Linked DNA regions of Oryzias latipes. The protein of the gene in region 3 purifies or fractionates together with the protein of the main gene of each other region. This does not show direct contact. Links are inferred from orthologs where the notes say so. Each region holds a gene or a part of one and is shown on either strand. Other genes may lie near its edges.

Region 1 (5,688 bases), on a different chromosome or scaffold from region 3:
TTTCCTCAGAGAGCCCAACAGAATGAAGACCCCCGCAAGAAACACAAGCAAGTGTCCAGCTAATAATTCACGGCGGTCCGTGAAAGCATCCGTCAGCTGCACCCAGACAGACGGCCATAACTTCTCAGCCGGGTTAACCGCTCTCGTGCCGTTGGGTCAAGTAAAAACAACCGGACAAACGGTAATGCGTAGCTTTCAAACAGCGATCTTTAAAGAGACGACATTTTATTTTCATGAAGCTCAGCAGAATAGGGCTCTGGTTTGAGGCGCACAGAAACAGTCCAGGGAAGATTTCCAGGCTCAATAAGTCTTTAAGTAAATGTTTACAACTGACAGGAAGTGTCTCTATTGGTTTGTCTTAAAGAAAACAACAACCTACAATAGCATTTCAATGAGAAAAAACACATTTCTATATTTATGAATGTGATTTAGAGGAGAGACAGCTGCACAGGGACCGTCTACAAAGAGCAAAGCTCTGGATACAAACCCTCATCATATTTATGCTACAACAATTTTAGAAGAAAGTCCTTTTTACGTATTTTGATGGAGACTTTATCAAAAATGTTCAATAGTTCTTAAGCTACAGTCAAAGTAATTATCATCTATTATTATTGATTAACAGTTAACTGTTTTATCTAGGTTATAGTTGCCCAATTATTATGTAATTGTTCAAGTAGAAGTTCACTGTTTAGTGTTCAATGATAAAAAAATAATAAAATGAAAATAGGGGAAAACCTGGATCTGTTTATTAAACTTGTTCATTTCAAACTTTGATTCAGTGAAGAAAAAGAAACATTTCGTCAAATATAACATTCATTTTGCAGCAAAAACAAACTTCTAGAACTGGTTTTCTTGTGAATATACCTTTAGTTAATGTTTAACTGCGCAAGATTCTTTAAAAACTAAACAAACAAATCCAGCGTCAGGCTCTGAAACAGGATGCAGGAGAAACAGTTTGATTTTTTTCTTGCTGTCCTCTTCATCACATTAACAACACTCCCCTTCAGCATCTTTGCTCTCTGCTCCCAACAGGAAATCATGACTCTTTAAAGCCCATCCTGAGAAACTCCACAATGAATAACACAAGTACATGTCATCTGCTTTCTTTTACAGCTTTTCTCCTTTATTCTCCTACAGCCATAAGAAAATCTGACTCTCTCTCAGGAATCAAAGAAAAACTATGGAGTTTGGTTGGATCGGTGTCATGGAGGATGCCAGGAGACAGAAGCAGCTCTTTATCTGCAGCTTTCTGATGAACCATCAGGTTCTCCCTGATAACAGCAGTTCTGTTGATAACAGCAGCTCAGGACTTAACTTTAGATCATGCCAACACTGGAGGCTACCACATTACTCCACCGGCTACCGGCCTCTTCATCCACAGCAAAGCGGCGCCTAACCAGCCGCTGCCTCCAGCCTATCACTGCTGTCCAACAGCCAACAAAGGGGGGGGGTCCTCGCAGACCGCCGTCTGCGGCGGCCAGAGCGCAAAGACCGGCTGAGGATCATAAATGCTGCAAGATCGATTTTCAGAATCCTGTGTCACTTTTATGTATAAAGAAATGGAATTTACTGTCCATAAAGGATGGATGCAGAAAGATCTTATGAAAGGATTTCTCCTTCGGTCTCTGGTGTTTTCAGCCACCCGGCTGGGCAGAAATTCATTCTCTGAAGAAAAGTCGCAGCATTTCAACGAGGATCATGTCTGGAGTTTGACAAATGATTTTGTTTTTCAGTTGCAGACTGGAGAGCTGAATAAATGCGCCTAACTCGGTTTGTGTGGGGCCAGAAAACCTGGAACCTGATCAGGTGAGCGGCTGGGACGTCCGCTGAGCGGAGAATGAAGACTTCATCCTCATCAATAGATGGAATGAGGCCGAAAAACAACAGAATAAAAACACCCTCTGTTTTATAAAGGAGGTGACACTTGCTAATAAAGAGTTCATCGATTTCATTTGATCAGAAGCACGAGGCCGCCACTTCCTGTGTCAACTCCTACGGGGCCATGGGGGGGTGGGGGCTCACTTTTCACACTCTCTTTGCATGTTGGCTTTGTAAATGTTGTTTTTTAGGAAATAATGACTGACGCGCTGTGCTATGATTTGACTCTGATTTTCCTAATCGTATAACCGGGCCTCGCATTCAAATGTAATTTTAAATTAAGAAAAAAACCTTTATTAGTCCTGCAAGGGGAAGAAATTAGCTGCAGCAGATCGTTGCAGTCAATAAAGTAATAAAAGTCGGCGTAGAGAGCCTTTGAACTGGCAGCAGGGAGAAACGACCTCTGCCCCCTCAGTCCGGTCCGGTCTGCTCTCAAACCCATGATGCTTTCCACAACATTAAGCAGAAAGTTCAACGCTGAATTTGGAATGTGAGCATGTTTCTGAAAATGCTTTTCAAATGGAACCAAAGCAGATTTTTGAATCTGTAACAACTGAACGCTTTGGCCAAAGATTTTGTGTTTTACCAACTGAAAATGTGTTTTAAAAAGCTCCGTTTTCTAATATACAGCTATTATGAATCCTACAAAATGCAAAACTCTGCATTCTGAGTGTAACTGCTTTGTGTATCTAATAAAAAAATAAATAAATAATGTCAAGAGCGAAAACATACGTTAGGATTAAAAGAGGACAAAAATACATAGATTCAGAATGAACATGATCGTGTAAGAAAGGACTCAAGTAGTAAACCTAAAACCGATTCCTGGTTTTCCTTTGAGCAAAGATTAAGCCCTAAAAGGTCAAATATTAGACTTTACCTGGTTCCTCCAAACAGGATGATTCGATCTCCAACCATACAACAACACTGTCGCCTCCGTGAGCACGGACCTTTGCCTTTCGGCTCGATTTTCTTCCACATGAAGGCCTCTGTGGGGACAGGAGGCAAAAAGAGACGACGCGTGAGCTTTACAGGCAGATCAGCCCTGCATGAAGACAACAGGAGGGCCAAAATGAAACTCCTGAAACCAGAAACCAAGACGCACAGCTCTGTGAGAACGTCCGTTTCACACGCAACTTGACCAAAATGTGATGTCCACACAAGCGGACGCCAGGTCTTAAAATCCCAATGCCAAAGCGTTCCCAGCGGTCTCTTAATTATGATGATGCTGTGTTTAGCAACATGAAAAAACCTGTCGTTTCCCAGGACATAGTCTCTGCAGAGCGGCAGGAGTTCAGTGGAAATTTGCCTCTGGGTTGTGGGCAGTACTGTTGGCGCGGAAATGACCCTCTAACGATGTCCCATCAGTCCCAGATGCCATGAGAAAATCTGCCTGAATGGCCCTAATTTAATGGTTTGGTTCAATTATAAACTCATTTTAAATGTATATATTATTATTAAAAAACTGATAATTGATAAATGCTTTATTTATTGTTATTTCAATCTTATTAAATGTCTTCTTTTGCTCTTAATTGTAAAAATAGTACTTCCATTTTCTCTTTAGGCTGCTGACTTTTGTTCTTTTTTTTCTTTGCTCATTTTCTTTTATTTCTTTTATTTTGTTAGCATATGCTTATATTTTGAAAGCACTTGCTGTTATAACATATTGAATGAAAAATATACTGTTGATTACTTGACTCCAAATCAAGAGGAAGAAACATATTTTATTAAAAAGGAGAGTTCAGACTGAAAAGTGATTTAAGATGCTGTTCCCCTAAAGCTTCATGAACCGAAAGGTGTTTGACACAATTAAAACAAAGTGGAAACTGGGTTGTAAAGATAGAAATATAGGAAAAACCTGGTTTAAGTTTAGTCGAGTCAATTAAAAAAGTCTGACTTGTTGTTTAAAGCATGCAGGGTCAAGTGCCGCCTCAGTTTCAAACTGCTTCTCCTTAGAAACGCAGCGTTATAACTCCAATAGAGGTGCTGCCATCTAGTGGACTGTTGTTGAAACAGCAGATTTATTCAACAGAAACTTATCAATACAAAAATGAAGAGCTGTATAAAAACAAAACCATTAAGAAAACTGAGCATCTTAATGGGAGGATGAACTGTAATGACTATTTTGTTAAACATCAGACCAACTTTGGACAAGAGTTTGTCGACAGCTCCATACAGGCGACATAACAGAACTAGACGGTTTTGTTGCTCTGTAGGAGTGGATTGCGTGTAAATAAATATCGGTGGGTCTGCAGCTTTAGTGTCTCACAAACATTTTAGGTTCAACAAGTGAATAAGGGTTCTTCAGATTCGGAGTGAAAATAATGTCACACCCTACTTGAAGACTCAATCTAATGAAAAATCCTGTTTCTGGTGTTTTTAATCTTGTTCTTGTAGCATTTTTCTAATGATAAAGAAAATTCAGCTTAGAATTGCATTTCTGTGTATTCCTTTATTGAAATCGTTGTGAATCAGGAGCAGATGAAAAAAAGTCACCTGAAAAAGATCATATTTGTTATGTAGAAAAGATGCTGGGCGGGGCCACAAGCTCCCTGCTCCGCCCCTTTCTGATACGTCCACTTATAAACAAATAGATCCACGAACGTCTTTGTTTTCCTCGTCTGAGCTGGACTCTGGATCTAAACTAGACGTCTGGACGGCTACGATGTTGCTGCTGTGAGCGGCTGTAAGCTAGCGGGAGAGCGTGTTAGAAGAGAGCTCACCTATGGATGACGGGAAGGGAAGGTGGGGCTGCTCTAGGCCAAAACATCCCACACGTTCATGCTACGTAACTGAACCAAACGGCTGCTTTTAAAAGTGAATCACCTGGATTGAATTTCCAGAGATCGTTGAAGTGCCGGTCCAGACGGGCGTTGTATCCTCCGAAAATGTAGAGCTCCCCTTTGTAGCAAACTGAACAGAAAGCAGCCAATGATCACGTCATCAACGACACACGCTGGCGCTGGATGTTTCGGAAGAACACGCGTGTGCGTCTTACATGCCGAGTGACTCCTGCGTCCCTCTGGAGAGGGCTGCGTGGTGGGGGTGCTCAGCCAGCAGTTGGTCTCCGTGTCGAACACTTTGATCTTGTTGCAGTAAATCTCATTGTTGGAGTGGAAAGGGCCGAAGCGGTCCGCCCTCCCTCCGAAAACAAACATTTTTGCTCCTATGATGGTGGCTGAGTGGAAGTCTCTCCATCGAGCTGGAGAACCCTGAGAAGAGGCAGAACGTCACGAGAGCGTCAGGTTTCTAAGGAGAACGAACGAAAGGGCATCAACTCAAAAATACAACCCAAATCTGTTCATCCTCCTTTCATGGGACAGTTTCCTACCATCATACACGACTTCACAGCGAGCACAAAAATCCTGTTCTACCCATTGGCATAATAACATCAGGTACACAGCACCCCCTAGTGTACATCTTTAGGAATTTATTATTTCAACTTTCACTAAACTAGGGATGGGGAAACATTCAAAGCTGTTGTTAAAGGTGATTTATTTTGGGGAGAATCTGGGTTCAATTTTCCCAGCATTCCCCTCTCCAGCAAAGAGGAGCTTTTTATTGATTGATTTTTTCCAAAAACAAACATTTTTCTGCGTTTTCTGGAACTGATTCGGCTTTGTGACTTCAGACTTGGAGCATCAAACCAGAATCAAAATCCGCTCGAAGGCCATCGTTACCAAAAGTGGGAGTACGCTGAATTTGTTTCAACAGCAGAAACAGAAACTCTGTCGAGTGTGAGAAATGTGCTCCTCTTCACGAGACGCTCAAGCAGCAGCTCCAAAAACATTTTCACAGCTTTGTATTCAGTTT
Region 2 (6,382 bases), on a different chromosome or scaffold from region 3:
TCCTAACTACACATTTGATACACTTTTCTCAGACAGATATGAATATTTTCACCCTTTTCTCTCTTATTTAAACTCTCAAAGTTCAAACCTTCGTATAAAAATGAGTCCAGGATTATGGAATGAAAACAAAGATCTGATTGGGATTGAAGATATACATCCATCTATCAAGCTGATCCCATTCTATACAGGAGACACGGCACAGAGGAGATTGACTGACAGGGTCTACAGCCAATCAGGACACAGAACACAGTGCACCAACAAACAGAAAAAGGGCTGGAAAAGATGAACTGTGATATAGTGAGAAGCCACTATATCACATATAGTACAAATGATATTTAAATGTATAAAAAGCAATAAAAATCAGTGTCTGGCATTTCATTAAATATTTATCCTTTAAAAATGAAAATAATTTACAAAGGATCAATTATTATAGTGCTGTAAGGGAGTTTAAATAAACAAAAGATGGATCCAATACCTCTGGATTTCCCTTTAAAGAACTTCTTTGTTTCAATATTTTGTGTCTGAAAAATTCTTTCCTTTATTTATGTTACAATGAACATGAATTAAAATTCCACCGTATTCCAAATGAACAGTTTTTTTTGGTAAAAACAGGTTTCCCTAACTTAACTAAATTGGTTTTGGATAGAAATAAAATAAATAAATAGATCTAACAGCTGAATATATTCTGGATGGATTCAGTAATGTAGCAGTGTCCTCCAGCCCTACCCTGTTGCATGCTGGTAGATGTCAAAAAATACAGTTACCTGTACAAGCAGTCCATGTAGTCAGCGCCTTTGCTGTATTCCTCCCAGTATCTGTGGTACATCACTAAAACCTTTTCCTCCGACTCCAGAACTTTCTAGAAGTACATTCAGATATTATTACTAAAAAGCAAGAACTTATGGGGGAAGAAGCACTTCTTTTTTTTCTCCCGCAAGAGCGTGAAAGGCTTACCTTGTATAACTGTCGGACATGATTTTCAAGAAAAATTTTGGTCTCCGTGTATAATCTTTCCCCCAGGGGTTCTGGGTATGCAACACATAAGGCATAAATGTCGCTGGTGTCTGAGGTCAGGATCACAAACCAAGAAAACATCTTTTTTCAGACACATTTATCTCAACAATAGCTAATCTGTATTTAGAAAAAGATGAAGAACCCATCTACCCTATAAAACAGTGGTCCGCACCTTTTTCAGGCCATGGGCCGGTTTAATGTCAGACAAGAAACGAGGTTCAAGTGGCCGTCCGATTTGTTTTTTTAGCTAAAGGTTTTCCTTAACTTTTGAGGGTAAAGTCGATCTTCATCCTCTGTGAAATATTTGCCACTTCTCTAAACTTTATTTGTACACTAGATTTCAAGTAGGAACCATTAAAAAGGGATATAGATTTTCCCGTAACCCATAACTGTCAAAGTAGAGGCCAAAAAATCTGATGCCAACTTCAGCCTCGTCAGACTTTTAGGGTTCCACAAATATAAAAAATAAATGAATAAATAAGACATTGGTCCCTAAAACTTTTTTCTACTGAAACAAACTTTCCATATGTGTTTTTTTTAATGAACTTTGCCAGCCTGGGGGTCTCAATTTAACGGTCGGAGCAGCAGCTTTAAGAAAGTAGAGGATGGTTTTTTAAACGTGATCGAGCAACTTAACATGCATCAAGAATGAGTGGAATGTGGTGAAGAGAGTCGAGGACTTTTCCCAAATAAAACTTCTTTCAAAATCAGATGATAAAGAAAATGGGAAAAAATGTAGGTCGTGTTTTTTTCTCTCTCCCACGGACTGGCCTGGAGGTTGGGACCACCGCTATAAATTGCCTACAATCTTTAAAAAAAAAAAAATCTTTAAAAGGATACGAGAATCTGTCATTCCAGGTGGCTCTTTCAACATAGTCGAGCATCACAACAGCCTTGATTGTCGTCAGTAACTTGTTCCATGTTTCATCAAAGTCCACCACCCGCGGCTTTAAGGACATTGTAGTTTTTCCTTCAGCCTGACTGAAAAGAAGAAAAGAACAGGAAATATTGAAAGATGTTAAAGTCCCATTCCTTTAACTATGATTATGCAGCTTTTAAGTCCAAAAAATTAAAAAAAAAAAAACTTTCATTTTCTAGGCCATACTTTCTGCAGAGCAGTCCGCCCCACTTTCCATCACCCATCTACTCTCCCACTCTCGTACAACCCCTCACACACCAAGCCCAACATTACCAATGCAACAAAAATGGGAAGCAATATTGGAGCAATCCAGCTGTACAGTTTTGAGCCAGATTCCAGCTGAGACGAGGAAAACAGAGACGTACATGAATGCATCAGAATGGAATGGAGCAGGGAGCTTGTGGCCCGGTCACTGTAGCTTCTACGTCACAAATACGATCTTTTTCAGACAGCAGTTTTTCATCTGCTCCTGACTCACAACAATTTGAATTTAAAAAATACTCTGAAATGCAGTCTTAGGTTCAATTTTCTTTATATTATGTCCTCCACCATCAGAAAAACGCCACAAGAACATGTTATAAACACCAAACACAATTTTTACTGGAGTGGGTCTCTAAATGTTTGTTTTGACAGCACAGTCACCAAAATAAAGGCTGTATGACAAAAAAGAAACTGATAGTAAAAAAAAAGAAGAAGAAGGAAGCATCATCAAATACAAAACAAAAGTATACGAGGATTTCAAAACAGCACCTGGGAAATTAAACCAATAACACGATTTGAACATCTTTACCAAATAAAACATAGTAACAAGGACATTTTTAAAACAATTCTTTTGATCATGGAAACAACACTCCATAGCACTATTATGTCTGATAATCATTCTGTTCAACAAGAAGAGGCTAACAGCTAAATATTTTGGAGAAAAGTAAAGAGAAAACCTCTGAGCAGCAGCGAAACACTTCATAAAAAATCTATCAACGTTCAAATTAATGCAAGCAGTTGTAATTATTACGTCAAGTGGGAGAAAGAAGGCCCTGTATGTGTTCTTTCATGTTTGTCGTCATTCATTTCAATTGCTATAACGCAACATTAAACATCTCAACATTTGTCTTGAAAAACCACGTCAATATTTATTGTGACTACAATTATGCTACCGAATGCTGTCTCTCCATTTTAGCATCCCTCTGACATGTTTGTTGAACCTAGCTAAAAAAAAAAAGGTACAAGCTAGCGGAATGCCAATCCAAAAATAGGATGTTGAGCTAAAATGCTAGCTTACTGCGCGTTAGCATGTCACTTCTTCCTGTTCAACTGAAGGCAATTTTAAGGCAAAAGCTAGCAATTAGCCAGCTAGCTGGCGGCTAACGATTGCTCAGCTATAGTTAGCAAATTGTCATACAAGAAGTTTCCCTACGTAAACCTTGACATTACGGCAAAGCGTGGCGCTGATGTTGAAAAAATCTGATTACTTATTATAAGCAAAGACTTTACAACTAACCTTAATTCAGTAATTACTTGTTTAAAAACTCCGGTTTCTCCGCTGTCACAGTACTGATTTGACTCACAGGTCTTCCCAACCACTAGGAATATACCACTTGACTTAGGTGAACGTTACAGACAAGTGTTTATACTTTGTATGAATTTTAGGAAACAGTAATTTGTCTGAATTGTATCTAATATAAATTCATTAACAACAGATCATAGATATAAGCTTTACATTAACTAAAGCGCGGCAACGTTAAAAGAAAAACCCCAACCAAAAAATGGTATCGCCCAAAACTACGGAAACCTTAAGGAATCGAATTTTTCAAACACCGGTGTATTCTGTTTTTATATGCTCTATTTTTTTTGAGGGGAAATGTGCATTTATTCCATTTGTGTTTAATACAAATTAAATTAATTGATAAATACAAAAAATAAACACTTCATATTTGCCTCACTTTTAAATAAGTAAAGGTTTTTCCAGAAGCTACTTGTGCCAAAGTAGCTTGGCTTTGCACGTTCTTTAATCTCTTTGGTAAATTTTCTGTGATTTCTTTTATTACAAATTTTCACTCTCCCTTTTTTTGCTTTGAAAACATGCATTGTTTGGCTTCCACCACCATAAGAATATGCCGCTTAAATTTGAATACATCCTGACTGCCTGCTACTTCAAACTAAATCCCAAATGTTTCTTTATTTTTGTTGAAGGTCAGACTGTGTATTGAATCAATTAGTTAAAAAAAAACGTTCAAATGTCATAACTGACTATTAGTACTTACAGTGTTGTTCTTTATTTACTACATCCCTGATTAGCTAAAGTTAGTTTTAGTGCTTGTTTGAAGAAATATATCATAGCTGGTAAAATTAATGCATTTTGGACACAAATTTTTGTTAATCAAAACATTTTTAACTATAAATTTGCAATTTTTTTGTTTTGTTTTGCTCTGCTTTGTTAGAAAAAAATGGAAAATATTCAACCAGAAGAAGTTGTTTTTAGCTTTTACCAAAAACTTGAGGTATATTTTGAATTCCTTACAAGAGTATTTTTTTTTTGCTTGCTTAAAGAAGGAAGCTGTTATTTTACAAAAAGGAGGATCAGATGCTCCTTTATATAAATCTTCATTTTTCTTTTATACAAATACAGTCTTGTTTTCCATAGAATGACTTCCAGGGTGATGCAGCTAAATACAGAAGAGAGTGATCAGTCACAATAAGCTCCAGCTTCTCCCAGTTTGATTCCTTCTTACCTGCAAACTAACAACAGTAATGCAGGTAAACATGTCGATAGTGGTTAACATGACCACCTCCACACCCACTGGTTTGTGTTTTCCTTGGTCTTTCAGGGCTGTGTTTTGATTCCCATCTCGACTTTTCCCCTTCGGATCTTCAGGGCGTTACAGATAACCAGCCATTTACAAACAACCCACAATTTTTAATTGTAGGAGCCACAAACACGCCAGTTGGTCCAGTTCAGACAGGTAACCCCTGCTGTTTTCTCTTAAAGTTATTTGTTGTCAAATGTGATTTTTTTATTTGTTTTGTGACAGTAACAGCAATACAAATATATATATCCTTAATCTCTCCTAAAAACATCTAAAAATATTTTCCTGTAATCCATGTGGATTGTATTAAATACATACATTTATATAGACTATTTCATGCAACATTGTGCAAATCTCTCATTTCTTTTGTTTAAACAAATGTTTAAACAACATTTATTTTGAATTTTATAACCACTCTCATTCTTCAGTTTTGCATGGGAGCAGTTCACTCCCTAGTTTACAAGAATGACGCCAATTAACAAGAAATCAATTAACTATATTATATTATTACATTATACAGAGGTGTTATTAATGCATAATTTAGCTGCAGTAGCCCGGAAGCGTCTCCTCAGAGTAAAATGTCCTCAGTTCTAGTCTTTACTTACTGCCATTAAAAAAAAAAAAAATAGATCAAACAGTGAGGAGGATTCCAATCTGTGTGGTTTTCATGATATTACGGTTCGTCAAGATCGTTATTGTCTGTAATGGCAAAGTATCTAAATAACACAGAGTTGAACTTAACCGCCATTTTTTATTTTATGTCGCTGTAATTCAGATGGGGGAAGCTGTTGTTGAAGAAAACATAATTTTTTGTGAACGTGGAGTGATCCATTCTTTAAACAGTACAGATAAAGGAGGCAAAACTGTTGGGAAATGCGACTGGGAGCTAATCTTTTTTAATTATTATTAATCAAGTACAAGTATTCTAATCTAGGAGAGAAACTGAATGCCTACATCAGAGACATCAAGACCTGGATGACAATTGATTACCTCCTTTCTGAACCCACAAAAGCCTGAGGTCATTATACTAAGTCCTAAAATCCTCAGAGATGCTCTGTCTGCTCAGATAGTCTCTCTGGATGGTGTGAGTTTAGCCTCCAACTCCACAGTTTGAAACCTAGGGGTTCTATTTGACCAGGATTTATCATTTAATGCTCACATATCTCAGGCATGCAAAACTGCATTTTTTCACTTCATTATAGCTAAGATCAGAAATATACTCTCTAAAAGTGATGTTGAAAAACTCATCCATGCATTTGTTACGTCTAGGCTGGATTACTGTAATTCTTTGTTAGCTTTGTTAGCATGTCCTAAAATTTCCTTAAAAAGTCTTCAGCTTGTTGAGGAGGCAGCAGCAAGATCGTTAGCAGGAACTAACAGAAGAGAACACGTCACTCCTATGTTAGTTTCACTTCACTGGCTCCCAGTTGATTCTAGAATCAAGTTTAAAATTCCCCTGCTTACCTACAAGGCGTTACACGGTATGACCCCATCCTATATTAAGGACCTCATAGTGCCTTACCAACCAAACAGAACACCTCCCTCACAAAATGCATGTCTGCTTGTGGTTTCTAGAATTAGTAAAAGTACGGTTGGAGGTAGAGCATTTAGCCACCAAGCCCCTGTCTTATGGAATAAACTCCCA
Region 3 (5,688 bases):
AGCTTATCATCTTATTATTTTTTTTTAATTTTCCACAAAATGAAGAAGCTCAATTTTTTTTAAATGCTTCTTTTGGACCTTTAGATGAAAAACATTCAATGTTTAGGAGAAATTTCGACAGAGAATTGCATACTTTTATTTATCAGCCACTACAGAAAAAAGAGAAAAAAATATCCAAGTAGTACAATGTTGATCCAACTGAAAACTCGCAATGCATTATGGGTATTTAAGTTTGACCAAATGATGGTGAATTCATATCAATGTGGGGTCAAAATGCTGCAACAAAAGTTTGAAGCAGAGCTTTCTCTTTTTTAAGCCTTCTTTTATGCTGTTTTGAATAAATATTTTTGCTTTTTCTTGTAATTTTCAGCATAAAAATAAAATAAATGAGACTTTTGAGATCATCAGATTTAAAAAGAAATCTCAAATGTTGTTGAAACCACGGCTGCGTCCTGCTCATGACATCTGAAATGAATTTGATATGGAAACTGATGACCTGCTTCTGAATAGAGACTGAAGATTGCTCACCGGTTACACATTAACTTCCATCGATCCATCCCAGGAACAGCCAGAAGGCCAACAGATGACTGAGGGCAATAGCCTGTTATGCAACAGTTTCAAACAAACCAGGTTTGAAGTCTGCTGGCCTGATTGCCTGAATAAAAACTCAGGACTGACTGATTAATTTAGCTTTAATGTGAAATAAATGTGGGTCGTTGCTACTGGCCAGAAATTTCCACATTAATAATGGCATTTTTACGACATTTTGAAAAAGGTTGTTTCTGTTCACGAGGACTTTTTTTTTGTCCTTTACACAAAAAAAAAAAATCAGCTGGTTTGAGAATGTAAACTGCACACATCCTGGGGAGCAAACTTGAGCCATCTATTTGTGCAGCTGTGGGTGTTTTTCTTCATCTCTGACCATTGTCCTGATCTGACTCTCCCAAACATCAGCTGGGCTCCTCTTCTTTAGTGGAATAACAAAGACAACCTGAATAACACAAGTCAAGTGAAAAATCAAACACCAATTACAATAGCTGTAAATCAAATGAGAAGCTTTAATGATCAGTTTTCCCTGTTGGGTTGTGTTTGGTGAAAGAAAAGATCAGATCCTCAAAGTGCTCCTACTGGAATGGCTTCTCTTCTTCTTTAAAGCAATAATATTCACCAAATATATCACCATCAATGATTAAACAATCAGGAGGGGTCTCTCTCTCTGATGGCAGAATGGAAATGATGTGAAACTAAAACCTTTGTGCCTTTTTTGTTTTTAAAGGTTCATTTTGAACTTTTTTCAGAAAAAAAAAACCTTTGTAAGTCTTTTTGTAACCTAAAAAGTATTTTTCTAGTGTTATTTGTTGGTCATGTTTCAATGGTTACTAATCCACATGGATTAGCCAACAGGAGGAGTTTAATTTGACCCGCAATCTCGTGAGTTTTGCAGAAACAGCTCGTCATCGATGTAATGGTCGGAAATGTCATCCTCTACCATATTTCCTGTTCTCATCATAGGATTTTATTTGTTGTTCTTCTGATTGCTTATACATCATTGCTCTTCCTGGTGTTGCCTCTTCTTGCCCATGGTTCAGTAGGGGTGGCGACACAGGGTTAGGGTTGTGCCAACTTTAACCTCTGCACAGACTCTGGGTACAAGTCAGTCGGTGAGACCGTAAGACATACTTTAATTAGCATATTGTTAAAAAAGAAGGGCAGAAGATTCTAGTTTGAGGGCCAACATTGTCCATCTTTTTATAAGAATTCTGACTAATCCTGAATCACGAGGCTGTAAAGACAGATTATAGAGTCTAAACACATCCTCTCAGGGTCCATCCACTTGCAATGGGTGCACTCTTCTAAGAAAAGAATTGCAAGGAAAAAAAAAATAAAGCACCACAAGAATTGCGAGTTTAGCATGACGATTGGAAGCTTGTTGAACCAGACGAGATTTCTGAAAAGCCCAAAGAAAGAGTTCAAACCCTGCACTACTGTCCTTATAAGTCACCTTCTTTTTCGCTGTTGACATTTAAGGCACATTAGCACCACCAGATGACCCAAAGAAAAACTGGAGAGACAAAGAGCTGGTCAAAGCTTACAGTCTTTTGTCTGACTTTGACTTTCACATTTTTTTGGAAGGTTAAGAGCACTAAAACAATGCGTAGAATTCTAACAGAAGTCATAATAGAGTTTTCTTGTATGTAAAATAAATGTATTTAGATAAAAAAAAATTACATTTTATGCTGAATGTGTCCACCTTTTTAGCCATTTCATGCAATATGTCCAGTTAAGTGGTGAATTTAATTCGGGTCAAAAATTCAAATTTTAATCATTCCTTCATTCACAAAACCTAAATTATAAAAAAAAAAAAAAAACAAAGTAAAAAGGATTCTGCTGGTTCTTTTTTTTTTTTTGGTAGTTATATTTCAACATCAGCATTTTGTTGGCAGCATATAGAAAAAGGAAGGAAACAAAGACTATCGCTAAATATTAGTTTTTTTTCTAAGCCGTCTGTACATCGACTGAAGATGCGTACAACCTCCCATTTGTCATTTCTCTGTGTCAAAAATACCAAATACCCCACCCCCCCTTGTATCCTCTGAGCCTTTTTTCCAGGAATGCTCATACCTCCTAAATAATTACAAAAATCTCAACAATTACAGGAAAAAAAAAAGACAAGGACAGATCTCCCTTTACTTGTCCAATGTACAGATATAACAAGAGCTGGAAAATAAACTCTGACCTTTACCGTCCTTTTCTGGAAAGTAAAAGTCCTCGATGGCCTTTCATTAACCAATGAAGTGGTGTTTCAGTTTGGTGTCTTGTTTTTTTTTTTTTTTTTTTTTTACAGGAGACATGTTTGTTTTCAGTCCTGATGTGCCTCAGAGTTCAAAAAGCTGCATCAGAGTAAACCAGATAATATTAAAAAAATAAAGAGTGCTTACATCTGAAACAGTTTACTGGTCGGTTTAAAAGGACTACGAAGAAATCGGGTTTTCAGTGTGATGTCAGTACGGAGACTAGTGGAGTTATGTGCAGAAGTCCATCAGCTGTCCTGTTGAAGACATGGAGGAGAGAGAGAGCCGGGGTCCTCCCGCTTAACTTCCCCAAAAGAAAGTTATTCAGGTGTTGAAGCCAGTATCGTTACCAGAGAACATTGATGACATGGACAAGCTGATGGCCAACATGTCTGGGAGGGCTAGTTCCTCTCCTGCACAAATACAGTCTCCTGTGGACAAAGGCCTGCTTCCTGCAGCGTGATGTCATAGTCCAAGTGGGCGAGCTTCCTTCTAGGAAAGTTGGTGACGAGTTCAAAGCGTTCGTTAGGGTAACCCTTGGACTGGACGTGCCTGACCAGGGCCTAGACAAAAAACAAAACGGTTTAACAGCTGAGCTTTGTTTTACTAGAGTTAATATTTGCTGATATCCAGGAACTGTTCAAAAATAAAAAGGTTTCTGTGATACAGTGGTCCCTCGCTGTTACTCGTTTCACTAGGTTTTCTTTAACAGTATATTGTGTTCTGGATCCTGATTGGCTGTTGACAATCGTCAATCAATCTCTTCTATCTCTTCTGTGTGTCGTCTGCAGTAAAGAATGTGCTCAGCTTGCAGAATTTAGAGACCCACTCCAATGAAAAATGGCATTTTGTAGCTTTTTTCTCATGATGGGGGACATATATGAAGAAAATTAAACTCAAAATTGTATTTTCTGATTATTTATTTTTTTAAACATTGTTAATCAGGACGGGATGGAAAGATGAAGCTGCAAACGGGGCTCATTTGTGACGTAGAAAACAGAACCAGCAGGCCACAAGCTCCCTGGTTCGCTTCATTCTGATGCATCCACTTGTGGACGACTAGATCCATGTACGTCTTCCTCGTCCGAGCTGGTCTCGGGCTCAAAACTGCATGTCCAGATAGCTCCAATATTTATCACTATTTTGGTGGGGCTGTAAACTAGCCCTCAGCAGGGATTGAGGGATTGCTCCATGCCAACAGCCCCGCCCATAACTCAAGGGAAAATTTCTAATGCCCAAACTATGTCCTAGAAAAGGGCACATTTTTGATTTTGGGTAAAAATGGCATAATCAGAATTACCTTTAAAAAAGATTAAAAGATTGTAGTGGGTCTTTCAATAAAACTTCAATCTTTGGCAGATCTTTGGTTTCCTTCTAAAATACGTGTTTCTATGAAGGTTTGAACTTTGAAACAACAGGAAAGTGTAGAAATCTCAATGCCGGGCTGAGAAAAGTGTGTAGTGAGGACTTTTACCATCTTAAAACATCTATAATAACTCTTGCAGGTTATTTTTAGAACGTAACTTGACGATAATCGAGTGACCACTGTGTGTTATTTCAAACAGGGAGAAGTGTCGGATCAACTCACCAAAAGTTTAGCTTTAGAAGACAAAGAAATTTGCTCTCTCTGTCCATCGGGGTAGCGGAGCATCAACCTGGCTTTGGGACCTTCATTAACAGGAAAAAACACAGTTGGTTTCCAAACAGATAACAATTAAAAAAACGACAAAAACACTCAAAAAGGTGTCAAAGGAGTCAGCAAACATCTGTCTCTTCTCCGTTTGACCCCTTCTGTGGTCGTTTTTCCTCTCTGGTTAGTTTTAGTAAACAAGATTGAACCTCTTATAACTAAACCAATGCTTTATTTAGACGTGTTATCATTTGATGAATAATTCATTGTTAAACTATATATATGTGGCGATTCTAATCATGTACATTCTAGGCACAGACAAAAGAAAATTCACTGAATTGAGCTCAAACTTGACAGGGGTAAAAATGGTTTCATCACAGTCGGTTTCTGACTAAATTTTAGTGCATAAAAGCCAAAACATTTGGAAAAATAATAATCCACATTTAAAGTTTGATTGAAGGGAACTTTTCCACTGAAAAGTCAGCAGATTGCTCTAAAACATGCAGAGGAAGCAAGAAAATTGTCAACTGGATTTATTTTTATTTTTTTTTACAAACTACATGAATCATTATTTTGCTATTTTAGTTTTCTGACATGTTAAATAAATTAATGAGTTTAAACTTGTTGCTAAGATTTCTGTTTTATGCATAAAATAAGTCCTTTATTTTTAGTGTAAAATATAACTTCACAGTCGTCAATGTTACAGTGTGATGTAATGATAAAGTAGCTGACAAATAGACAGCTTTACTTAAATTCTGTTTTGTTTTTTAAGATTCCCTGAGAGATTTCTAACATCAGGCTGTTCTTCGGCCGCAGACAGCTGAAGCTGCTACCTGAAGCTCTGCCCTGGTTGGTTGCTGCTTCAGAGCAGTTCTAGACATGTTAGATCTCAGATTATCAAGTTTCAGCACATTCCCGATGGTCAATAGACTGTCTAGCCGTCCTGTTTATTGCTTTTTCTTTAACTGAGCATCAATCTGAAGTGTCTTAGACGATACCATTGTGTTTGTCTCACCATTGTCATCGGGACAGTCCACTTCACAGGCTGTGGTGGTGCTGATCTTGGAAGATGACGCACTTTCCGCTGGGGAGGAACAGTTGTTCCTTCCGGAGTCAGCATCAGGTTGAGGATGACGAACTGGAGCTGAAGGTTCCAGATGGTTCTTTTTGCTCTCCTCCTTTTTGTGACTGTGATTGTTTTCTTTGTACGGGGACTTTCTATAGGAAGAAGTTGAGCTGTCAGGTTGGAGACGTTGCTGGGCCGCT
Region 4 (4,693 bases), on a different chromosome or scaffold from region 3:
TTTTACTTTAGACACCCTGATTCATCTAGGCCCTCTTTTTGTGATAGTAAAACCTGTCCAACACAAAAGGACTTCAGCTCTAATCTGTTTGCTCAATATTTTTAGGACTAAGTTTAACAAAACCAAAATGATTGAATTGAACTTTTCTTCGAAAATGATTTAGTGATTCATTTAGTTTTTTTGCAGTGATACTCAGCCTTAGTCATCCCTAAGATTGAAAACTGAGAAACTATGTGAGCACACATGCTAACAAATGTTAACTTGTGCATAAAAAACAAAAGCAAATGCTTTATTTAGATTTAATTTGTTCACTGCCAATTTCTTGACTAGTAGTCTCTGCATGAAGCCAAGTGAATGTTTTCAGCATTTAGTGATTTCACATCTTTTTTCAAAATGTGTTTAAGTCTCCTCTTAAATTCCCCTGCATAAATAAAAAAAGGACTATACTGATAAGATCATAAGAAATTTTATAAGGTTGACCTCTATTTGAATTTTTTTTCTTCATTTTTTTTCCAGATCATGTCGGCTGTCAAGGTCGCCCTGCAGCACGCTCAGAAAAACGGCAGGAGAAAAACCTCTGAAGCGATGTCTGTGGAAGTGTCTCCCGACTCCAAGTGTCCCATCTGTTTGGACGGTTTTCACAACGTTTCTTACTTGGATCGTTGCCTGCACAAGTTCTGCTTTCGCTGCATTCTTGAGTGGTCCAAGAACAAAGCCGAGTGTCCACTCTGCAAACAGCCGTTCAATACAATCTATCACAGTATAAAATCCGAGCAAGACTTTCAAAAGTATGAACTGAAGCAGCAAGTGGAGAACTCCTCTTTTGGGTATTTCGAGGGAGTGAGGTTCAGGTACCGCACCACTCTTACCGGTGTCCATCGGCAGATGCGAGGAAGAACCTCTCCGCCTCCGGATAACGGGGTGATGTTTGAAGCTTCGGCGCATCCTCCCTTTCAGCGGCAAGATCGCTACATTCGGCGCATGATGGCGCGGTTGGCAGCCAGAAGGAGAGCCGAGAGCGAAGGCAGGACGGTGAACAATGTCAGAGAGCAAGAGATGGTAAATTTCCGAAGGGAGCTGTACAGACAGGGTGTCAGGGTTCGCAACGTTCGAGACGGCGGCCGCTCTCGGGACACCTCCGCCGAGTTCTACCGCAGAAACCCCGCCTGCCTGCATAGATTGGTGCCCTGGTTAAAAAGAGAACTCACCGTGCTGTATGGAGCTCATGGCTCTTTGGTCAACATAGTTCAACATATCATCATGTCACGCATCACACGCTACGATATGGAAGACGGCGCGATTCAGGAAGAGCTGAGGCCGTTCCTCCAGGCTCGAACCGAGCACTTCCTGCACGAATTCATCAGTTTCGCCAAGTCCCCCTTCAACATGGAGGGGTACGACCAGCACGCAGTTTATGACTGTCCGGCCCCCTCCTCCAACGAAGACAGCAACTCCAACTCGTCCGTTATTGCCATCTCAGAAGAAGAGGAGAACCTTGTAGAGATAGAACAACCAGGAGGATCTACTTCTTCTCTGAGTCAGTCTGTGTGGGATGATGAGACTCCTGGTCCATCGTATTCAACAACAGCAGATCCAGGAAGGATAAGTCATCTGTCGGTCCATGACTCGGACTCTGAAAGCAGTTCAGACGGGGGCGTTCAAGAGTTTAGGGCTCCTCAACAGCGAGTGAGTCCAAGAAACCAAATAGACATGACTCAGGAGAACTGTAATGATGAAGATTGTCTGTCTTCTGACAGTGATGACTGTGTTATCATAGGATTTGTTAAGCCAACAAAAGAAAGGACTCCCGAGCTGGTTCAGCTGTCCTCTGATTCTGATGAGTCTTTCGGTGAAGACGCCAAAGCTGCGGCTCTCCAACCTAAACACATTCGTTTCCCCAGTTGTAGTCCAGCAGCTTCACTGAGGAGTGAATGCAGCGGCTCCAGACGAACAGAAAACCAGAGAAACTATCAATATCCCAAGTCAAACGAGGAGTGCGGCTCATCGAAATCAAGCAGATGTAAAACATCCAAAGAGTCTCACAATAAAGAGACAGACCGAAGACACTGCAGTGAGAAGCAGCCAAGGGAAAGGTACAGGTCAAAGGATAAAGAGCACAGAAGGCAGAGACGGTCAAAAAGCGGAGAGCATAGACAATCAAGCAGAAGTCCAGACGCCTCACAGAGTCAGTCCATCGACGGGAGTTACTCTTACATTAGCAAAGACTTTTCCAAACGTGACAGGAGGTATAAGGATAGAGGCAGTTATTACTACAATCAGACATATAGCCATCACAGACATGAGACAGATTGCACACGTAAGCAGGCCAACCATCACAGCAGCTACAAGTACTCTGGGAAGCACGTTCGATCTCGCTCCGGGAGCCCCAGCAGGGGGACAAGGGGACGGGACGGGACCAGGTCTCCATCCAGGACTTCCTTCAGCAGCTGCTCCCCTTCGTCGAGAAGAAAGACATACTGCGACAAGCCTGGCGGGAAGAGAAAATACAAAACAAGACACTTAGAGGACCCATCCACACAAAGGCACCACAGCCAGGATGAAGACGAGGACTCTGTGTCAACTGCACACAAGAAAAAAGCTAAAGAGAGGCGTCATAAAAAATCCAAAGAAAGGCAGAGAAAGAACAGCAGCAGCTTAGAGTCAAAAGAGCAAAGAAAACACCATAAAAAGAAGAAGAAACACAAGAAGAAAAGTAGACGGCAAAGGAGTGATGAGCACAAAAATACCTACTTACCCTCCGTCATCGTCATGGGGAGCAAAAATGAGTCTTCAGCTAAAAACATGCAGGTGTTAAGCACAGATGAGGAAAAAGACACAGGTGGTTCTGCTGTCAATCCAGTAGACTCTGACTCTATCGATTAACCACCTGGCATATTTATATGGTTCTATCTAACTTCAACACAGATGCCAGTATCTCAAGAAAAGAGTATTCTTTAATGCATAAATAATTCTGCCTTAAAAGCTCCTTATCTACTGTGCTGTTGAAGTATGGACTTTTGTATTCAATTTTAAGAATAAAATCTAGTCATTAACAATGGATGTTTGAATATTTGTGATATTATTTCTGTGTAGTTTAACCCAGAGTAGGTTGAATTGAAAAGACATGCATATACAATCTTTATTAATATTCATGCATATTTGATATTTTATGCCTAAAATATGATGATTTCTGGATTATTGTGATTTGCAGCTTCACCAACAATGATCTAAAATCTGATGGATATTTTTTTATTTATGTAAAACAAAGAATAGAATAAAACTGTATTGATTCTACAAAGGTGAAATTATCACGTTGCCATAACTCTATTAAAAACAGAAGTTAGATAACAAAAAAAATCAAACTTATTTGACAGAATATAAAAACAAAAAATATGATGTCCTTGAAAAAACCAGCGCCCCATGGAGGCAGAAAACCGCAATCGCAATCAACAATTTAAGTTCAACTTTTGCCCATTGACTGTAGGACTTTTATTTTGAAAATCTGGTGACCGGGAAGAGAAATGTTTGATGGCCGTCTTTTTTTTTTTTTTTCAAATATTTTGATTACGAGCGTTAACGGTTCAGCGCATTCCCTTTTGGTCAAATCCCACTCTTCATCCCAGAGGCGTTGTCATGGCGTCTACGGTTCACGTTAAGGTAGTACTCTGTTTAAAACGGTGGTAGTGTTATTTAAAAACAAAACAAATAAAACATTTGCTGCTTTAAACCACTGCTAGGAACCAGAACGACAACAGAGGTTACAAACCCGGAAATGCAGGGACAGGCTGGTGTGTTAGCATGCTGGGAAAAGTAAATGTGAAAGGCTTGAATTATACCCAAGCCTTCAGGAGTTTCAAAATGTGCTAATATATGTATGGCACGGATCATATATATGAGCATAAAAATGTCAACTACAAGCTAACGACGCGTTGCCGGACAGCTTACATGCTGCAGCTTCTTCTTGACCTCTTGCTAGTCGGCTGTCAGCCGGCTTTACTTCCAATTCCAACTCATTAGTTAATGTTTGGAGACTTAACTAGACTACAGTAATCATCTAATGGAGCATTATTGCACTTTACGGTAACAAATGTTTTTTTTTACATCGTATTATTTTCTTTCATGCTACTTATTTTATGATAGTTAATCATTAAAACAGCTGTCACTCAAATCTTCACTTCACCTAGGTCACATTGATGGAAACTTACATTGTGATTTTGGATTTCTTTTTATTCTGGACTAACAATACAAGTTAGTCACGCCTGCCTACAGATATAACAGATTTGAAGAAATATGGATTTCTAATTTTGAAGAACACATGAAAGGAGTAACACTTAATAGGGATAAGGGAAGAAAAAATAAAATAATGTTTGTGTAATGAAACTTTAGCAGCGGTCACATAATCGGCACAAAATCCAATTTAATTTTTTTTCACTTTTTTTTTTTTTTAGGTCTGTTAGATTCTCATATCTGTTGTACTTTAGCATTTCTTAAATAATTTTAGTAATAAAGAAAATGTCTGACTTGAATCAAGGTCATTTTTGCCTTAAAATTAAATTGAACAAGCTAAAAAAGGCTGAGACGATTGACCTTTTGGGCATATTTTAGGTTGGTGTACCTAAAAAAAAAAAAAAACCTCTTATTTTGCATTGCATTTATAAACAAATGCTAGATTATAGATATCCTAACTTTATGC
Region 5 (6,295 bases), on a different chromosome or scaffold from region 3:
AAAGCTAAAGTAAATGTATGCTCTATTATATTAGCAACAAAGTGTACTGTTAAAAAAAAAGGAAAATGATATTTTAAAAAAAACACTGGATGTTCAAAGTGTAACATTATTATGACAAAACTTTCCAATTGTTTTCTAATAATAATTTTCTGTGTTGGTGATAAAGCATTTCCTGACAAATTTCTACTGTCCTCACTCACATCACCAGAAAAAACCCCAAGAACCAGAATGCAATTTTGCTTTATTTGAGCAAATGAGAATATGAGAATTTCAATCAAAAAATATAATCAAAATTCTACATAAAAGCTCTACAATAGACGTCACATAGGCCTGACTCTCCACTTGCAGCTCTAAGGCTTTCTGCCTTTCTTGCGTAGTGACTGTCCCTCTCCAGAGAAGGCAATGAACTTGTTCAGGGCATCATCCTGGAGAAGAAAGATTAAAAATTAGTAAAAAAAAAAGTAAATTAATTTTGGAAGCACATCTTATTACATATATAGAAAAACTATCAACTACTTACATCATCGACAACTCTCCTGGGCTGAGGTCGGGAGTTTCTAATGAAAGTGATTTTGCCAACTTTGAAATCATAATTGGGAATTCCTCTGTCATGAAAAGATTGAAATGAAAATGGACATTGAATTAAAAAAAATCAGTAATTAGATTGAGATGTTCTCAACAGCTTTTAATCACTATTACACAATTTATTTAAAATCTTGCTAACAGGCTCTGCACATGTGATCAAACAAGGACTGTAAGTTGACTTATGAGGCCAACAATAGATGAAAATTTTTTTACTTTTAGTTTTAATTCCAGATGCAAAACTTTGTCTCAAAATTCTGTCCCATATGCAGAAAAGAAAAAGAAAAAAAAAATCAAACTAATTAAAAAAATGATTTACTAAGCAGGGACCTTAAAATGCAACAAAGTTGACACAAACACAAAAAGATGCAACTGTGAAGAGTTTAAATGCAAAACCACCTTTTAATGTCACTTGCTGCTAGAGGAACAGGGTTAGGCTCAATCCCTTTTGTTTTACCGTCCAGACGATTGCCAGAACCAGTAAAAGCCTAACGAAAAATAAAATCAAGAAAAGTATTTTATTGCTTTCATTTGTCTTTTGGGTCATTATTAGTTGGAACATACTCACTCTGAATCCGAGGTCCATGTCAGCATAACTGCTTGGGTCTGGCTCTTCCTCCTACAGAAATGTTTTTTACTAAACCTTTAATGACTTATCTCACTCACTGCTTAAGGCTCAGTCCTTACCGTGGGTTCATCCTGGTTCTGAGATCGCCGCTCAGGTTCTTTGTAACCCAGAGGTGCATCAAAGTCAACCTAAACAGAGGAGCAAAATAAAACTCAAATAGCAAATAATGTAAAGGTTTAATGTTGTCTAGAATAATAAAGAGAGTCTCACATTCATATCACATTCAATGATGGACACAGCTTTATCTGGCTTGGTCTCCATCACTCGCAGCTCATAGATCTAAAGCAAACACAGGCTTTATAGAATGTGTGCACTATTGAAAGGAAAATATCCTTCAAAATAAAATGAATTACCTTTTCATTGTAGTTGATAGCAATAACATCACCAGTTGTCAAGCATGCAAAGTTCCTCAGTGCGTTCTCCAGCCTGTGATAAAGTGACAGCTCAGGAATTCCGCTTACCAAACTTTATATGCATAAAGGGCACATAGATGTCCATTGCTCTTACACTGCCTTGGGGTTTGTGATGTCCAGAAAATCAGGACTTTGAGGTTGGAACTTTGAATAAGTGGCCACCATGAGATTGACACTTTCCACCTGAACCAAACCACCTTCTTCCAGCAGGAGATTTTGCATCATCTACATAAATACATTTTTAAAAAGTCAGGAAACAAGACAGACAAAAGAAGCATAGTGCTGCCCTGACTTTAGTAGCTTAAACAAAAACAAAAAAATTGTGATTTTTTTAAGACAATAAAACCATGCTGTCACACTCAAACTTTGATTTATTTGTGTACATTTTGCATAAACAATTATTTTTTTTTACTACTTTTATTTCTATTGATGCTGTTAGTTTGGCAGTGTTTTAAATCCACCCATCAAATCCCAGGTGGGTACATTCTGTGTGGAGTTTGCATCTTTTTCTCCGGGCACTCAAGCTTCCTCCCACAGTCCAAAAACATGCATCATGGGTTGACTGATTACTCTAAATTGTGTTATTGTTGCTCTGTGACCGGCTGGTGACCGGCTGGTGACCTGTCTGAGGTGTACCTTGCCTTCGCCCACAGCAGCCAGGATAGACTCTGGCAATCCCGTAACCCTTACAGGGACACAGCAGAATAAGAAAATGTGTGGATGGATTAAATCCACCCATCTTCAGATTACGCCGAATCCTTTTCAGGTTCATGACATGAGGTTGCTGGAGCCTAACTTGGCTTTTGTTGGGCGAAGGCAGGGTCCACCCTGAACAGGTTAGCGGTCTGGTAAAGGGCTATCTTACCTCCATGTGAAAAAAAATCTTCAGCTTTTCAGTTTGTTTTTTAAATCATCAAACTATTTACTGTGTCTCACCCAGTGTGGTAGGTAGCAGATCCCCTCATCTGCTACAAACTCCAGAACACCACAATGTGTCATTCTGTCCGAGTTTTTGTTGGTCAGCTTGAACAGCATCGGGTACGTGATGTTGAGCCTGCCTTCACAGAACAAAAAAGGAAGAGGGTCCTTTCTAGTGAAGGGTTTATGAAAGAGAAAGAAGAAAAAGAAATACTTGTACTTACTGAGCTGGTCAAGAGCAGAAGGTGGCATGATTACTGGTGAAAGCGGAAAAACAGATTTTCTCTGGTTACTGAACAGTTGTTATTGAAATCTTTGTTTTCATATTTAAATAAAAATGTAAAATATAATGTCTTTAGTCAGGTTTTATATAAAAAAAAGATCATTCATATCCAAATTAAAGTAAAATCGTATCCAAATTTAAACATTCAAATTAATATTTTCTATAAAAACAATGTGTTTTTAAGGAACTGTTTTAAGATGTAATATTTTAAAAGGTATAGCACTATTTAAAATGTATGAATTAGATGAATGTATCTATTAAATCCGTTAGTTTGAGAAGAAGTTGATAAAATATGCTTTTAAATAAATCAATTGACAGTTATCTGTAGATTTTGTGCCAGAAGCAATAAATAAATTAATAAAATAAACATAAAGAGGATAGTCGTTTCTCGTTAATATAAGTTATTTACCGTTTGGTTTTGAGTAGGTAAACAACTTCAACTTTAGTTTCACCCTTAAAACTCATGGTTCACTATTTTTTGACTTTCTTTGACTTTTCTCTAGATGAAATTATACCAACTTTTGCCTCCTTTCTCCACGTCGGAGCGGTCGTTGGGTCCCGCCAGCATGGACACCGAGTAGCACCGGTACTGAGTGGAGAAGCGGTTCGGAAAGCCCCGGCCCATTGGGGGGTCAAAAACATGGAAGGAAAACTATGGAAGAGTGCATACCACATGAAAGTCATTTTCAAACCGCACTTCAGATCGTTTCACAAGAATAAAGCCGGCATGTGCAACTCTGTTTTCATCGTGACAGAGCATCTTTCTGCTCTGAGGTAATGTTGTTGTTAGCTGCCAGTTAGCCTAGCCGGTTAAAATCCGGTTTATTTTAATAGAAACATGTCGTCAGCAGTATGTAAATGTAAACATCACTTACCATAATGACAAATGAGGTCTTAGAGGAACTAAAACCCGTAAAAGCAATGTATTTTAGGTCTTTTTGTTTGTTCACGGAGTATTCGATGTTGTCTTTCTTTCTTTCCCGGAAGTGTACAAGCTGACAGGCGGATATGACGACAATTCTTCTTCTTGTAATTTAAGTGACGGGAGACACAAATGAAAAGGTGCAATACCGCTACCTACTGTGTTGGAGGGGGAATTTGAGTGGGGGACAACCTAATTGTTCCATTAAAAACAAACAAAAAAAACTTTATTCTCCTCAACTGTCCAGTTCTCCTCCAAAACCAATAACTACTCCATTTGACCTACTATCGGAAGAAAAATATTATAAAGACATCAATGCTGATAATAACTGAGCCAATTACACCATCACTGATTCTACTGTGTTCTAATCAGTGTAATATTCCTAACATTTCAACTACAAAAACCGAAAGATCCTTCGACATCCTTATTCCGACATTTTTTTTTAAATTAGAGATACAGAAAGAAAAAACAGTCCTCTTTGTTTTTTGTGTTCTGTAGATCCACTTGTGTAAATGGGAATGAACTGTATCCAAACTGTCTGCTGCAATTTCATCCCAGTTTCCCTTCCTTTTTCTAACCTCCATCTTCATTTGGAGATAAAAATCTACTTGTACGGTTGGAAAGACCCAGAAAGGAGTGGCCGTGTACAAAAACTTCTTAACTAGGGTCTTCTCGTGAATCTTTGATACTCTCGCCAATCTAGATCATTTCCAAACAAAGCTTTCGTTTTTCCCACCACGGAGGTCAAAGGTCACCGCTTTGGGGCAAATTTTATCATAAAGTTTCAGTGATAATAACAAATTGATCGATAATAATGACAACGAAAAAAACTATAATATTAACGAAAAAGAAACATTTATAACAATAACATAAGTCTAAATCTAAAATATTTAAATCCCTTTTTGTTCCAAAAAAAAAGATGTTTAATGATTTAATGTTTTTTTTATTTTATTTTATCTACAAATAGTTTTTTCACATGCTTGTATGATTTCTTTAATCCCTTTTCTTTCTTACCTTTTGGAACAAAACGGATTTTTTGACATTTTATATTTTACATGAGTGATGTTTTTTACTTTTTCACCAATAAACCTAAAAATGATACTTTTGATAAATGTTCACTAACAGCCTCATCTACAGTAAAACGGCATGGGATTTCTTTTTGTTTGTAAATATCATACATTTGATTTGAATCATATTTAAGGAGCATTACTATTTTCCAAAGAATAAAAATATGTGACACAATTTCAAAGGTATAATAGTTTTATTTGCATTCAGATGCGTACATTTTTTACAAGTCTTTGATACAGCTAAATGTTAGCAGCACAGAGTTAAAAACAGTCACAACAGAAAACAAGATGAAAATTATTTTGGATGTTAAGAAAATACAAAAAAGACAAAGGTTGCCGTCTTTGTTTAGGAGTTTCTCTTTGAAAGACTACAGAAGTTGAGGGAAATAGATCTTACAGACGTCAATCAACAGGCGTTCATTCATGTTGTTCTTTGCTCGTCTGACGTTTGTATCTATGCAGGAGGCCAAGTATTTGCAACTTCCTGGTGAACAGATTCAGGTAACCACTGACAGTAGGCAGACAACAGAACTGTAGAAAGAAAAAAACAAAAGATGAGCCACAATAAGAAAATAGGATTAATAAAACCAGAAGCAACCAAACATTAAAGTCTAACATTTATCGTCAGTCTTCCAGATGGAAAGGAGAGCATCCCTGCAGTCGACCTTCTTTGACACCAAAGGGCCCAGTAAAGCTTCTGTTCTGGGTTGCAATCTGCAACAAAGATAAACACTGTCAGCACATTTGTTTGTCCTTCATTTTTTCTTAACCTGCATCAATCATAAATAAATAACTCAGAGATTTTTATTTTTTTTAAATGGGATCTTGGTTCCTGAAAGGGTGCATGCATATCAGACATACTTTGCTGTGCTACATAAAGCAAGGGACACATCTAACCCATGATAGGTAAACGTTTTATCCTTTTACAATTATCATAGATAATTATCATAGATAATTGTGTAAAGCTCAAACCTAAAAAAAATAAATAAATAAAAGATCTGCTGGCAATTTATGTGAAGTTTCAAAACTGAACGCACTCTGTACAGGAGACACTGCACAAAAGAGATCAACAGCCAATAAGGACACAGAACAGTGTACTTAGTAAAAACATGTCAAAATGCACTAAAAAATCTGCCAACCAGTAAAAGCTGAACGCCGATTTAGCCAGAGACCACTGTATTCTTCCTTTAAGGCCGGGTGATTTAGTAGAAAAAAGATAGAGGAATAGTCCTAAATTAGAGGCCTAACTTACTTTGCCCACGTTTTCAACATGATGGAGTGGTTGGAAAGAAGATAATCACAGTGTTTCTTCAGTTTGGGACTAACCTGTTAAAAGCAAAACAATGTTGTTGTTTTTTTTCTAAAAATCAGTTCTTCTGCAGTTTGTATAGACATCGTTCTTTTCCAAACAGAAGCTAAAAATACAAATGCGTCCACTCCAATATAAAATAATATGCAAAACTATGCAATAATATGCTGTAC

What was found.
Region 1: the proteins of ubxn7 (region 3) and klhdc3 purify together in Homo sapiens (affinity purification with mass spectrometry; 3 studies listed by BioGRID and IntAct, with this or other methods). This does not show direct contact. The link is inferred for Oryzias latipes from reciprocal best matches to the Homo sapiens genes UBXN7 and KLHDC3.
Region 2: the proteins of ubxn7 (region 3) and cul2 purify together in Homo sapiens (affinity purification with mass spectrometry; 6 studies listed by BioGRID and IntAct, with this or other methods). This does not show direct contact. The link is inferred for Oryzias latipes from reciprocal best matches to the Homo sapiens genes UBXN7 and CUL2.
Region 4: the proteins of ubxn7 (region 3) and topors purify together in Homo sapiens (affinity purification with mass spectrometry; 4 studies listed by BioGRID and IntAct, with this or other methods). This does not show direct contact. The link is inferred for Oryzias latipes from reciprocal best matches to the Homo sapiens genes UBXN7 and TOPORS.
Region 5: the proteins of ubxn7 (region 3) and ufd1 purify together in Homo sapiens (affinity purification with mass spectrometry; 3 studies listed by BioGRID and IntAct, with this or other methods). This does not show direct contact. The link is inferred for Oryzias latipes from reciprocal best matches to the Homo sapiens genes UBXN7 and UFD1.

The regions. Positions count from the first base shown.
Region 1 is NC_019873.2:28,678,581-28,684,268, reverse strand, and holds part of klhdc3 (kelch domain-containing protein 3), read right to left. Parts: intron 5,088-5,688; coding exon 4,874-5,087; intron 4,789-4,873; coding exon 4,702-4,788; intron 2,865-4,701; coding exon 2,756-2,864; intron 1-2,755. UniProt on the Homo sapiens protein: Substrate-recognition component of a Cul2-RING (CRL2) E3 ubiquitin-protein ligase complex of the DesCEND (destruction via C-end degrons) pathway, which recognizes a C-degron located at the extreme C terminus of target proteins, leading to their ubiquitination and degradation.
Region 2 is NC_019878.2:9,091,694-9,098,075, forward strand, and holds the start of cul2 (cullin-2), read right to left. Parts: upstream 3,557-6,382; 5' UTR 3,432-3,556; intron 1,996-3,431; 5' UTR 1,974-1,995; coding exon 1,855-1,973; intron 1,058-1,854; coding exon 955-1,057; intron 860-954; coding exon 765-859; intron 1-764.
Region 3 is NC_019875.2:24,819,559-24,825,246, reverse strand, and holds the end of ubxn7 (UBX domain-containing protein 7), read right to left. Parts: coding exon 5,438-5,688; intron 4,461-5,437; coding exon 4,381-4,460; intron 3,356-4,380; coding exon 3,194-3,355; 3' UTR 1,039-3,193; downstream 1-1,038. UniProt on the Homo sapiens protein: Ubiquitin-binding adapter that links a subset of NEDD8-associated cullin ring ligases (CRLs) to the segregase VCP/p97, to regulate turnover of their ubiquitination substrates.
Region 4 is NC_019859.2:15,572,140-15,576,832, forward strand, and holds the end of topors (E3 ubiquitin-protein ligase Topors), read left to right. Parts: intron 1-516; 5' UTR 517-519; coding exon 520-2,883; 3' UTR 2,884-3,060; downstream 3,061-4,693. Other genes in the region: mtap (S-methyl-5'-thioadenosine phosphorylase), read left to right, coding at 3,634-3,657. UniProt on the Homo sapiens protein: Functions as an E3 ubiquitin-protein ligase and as an E3 SUMO1-protein ligase. Probable tumor suppressor involved in cell growth, cell proliferation and apoptosis that regulates p53/TP53 stability through ubiquitin-dependent degradation.
Region 5 is NC_019867.2:6,261,740-6,268,034, forward strand, and holds ufd1 (ubiquitin recognition factor in ER-associated degradation protein 1), read right to left. Parts: upstream 3,855-6,295; 5' UTR 3,703-3,854; coding exon 3,700-3,702; intron 3,477-3,699; coding exon 3,344-3,476; intron 2,799-3,343; coding exon 2,766-2,798; intron 2,682-2,765; coding exon 2,560-2,681; intron 1,849-2,559; coding exon 1,718-1,848; intron 1,637-1,717; coding exon 1,564-1,636; intron 1,490-1,563; coding exon 1,421-1,489; intron 1,339-1,420; coding exon 1,270-1,338; intron 1,202-1,269; coding exon 1,151-1,201; intron 1,071-1,150; coding exon 982-1,070; intron 606-981; coding exon 521-605; intron 426-520; coding exon 351-425; 3' UTR 224-350; downstream 1-223. Other genes in the region: probable ATP-dependent RNA helicase DHX37, read right to left, coding at 5,268-5,344, 5,430-5,527, 6,066-6,139. UniProt on the Homo sapiens protein: Essential component of the ubiquitin-dependent proteolytic pathway which degrades ubiquitin fusion proteins.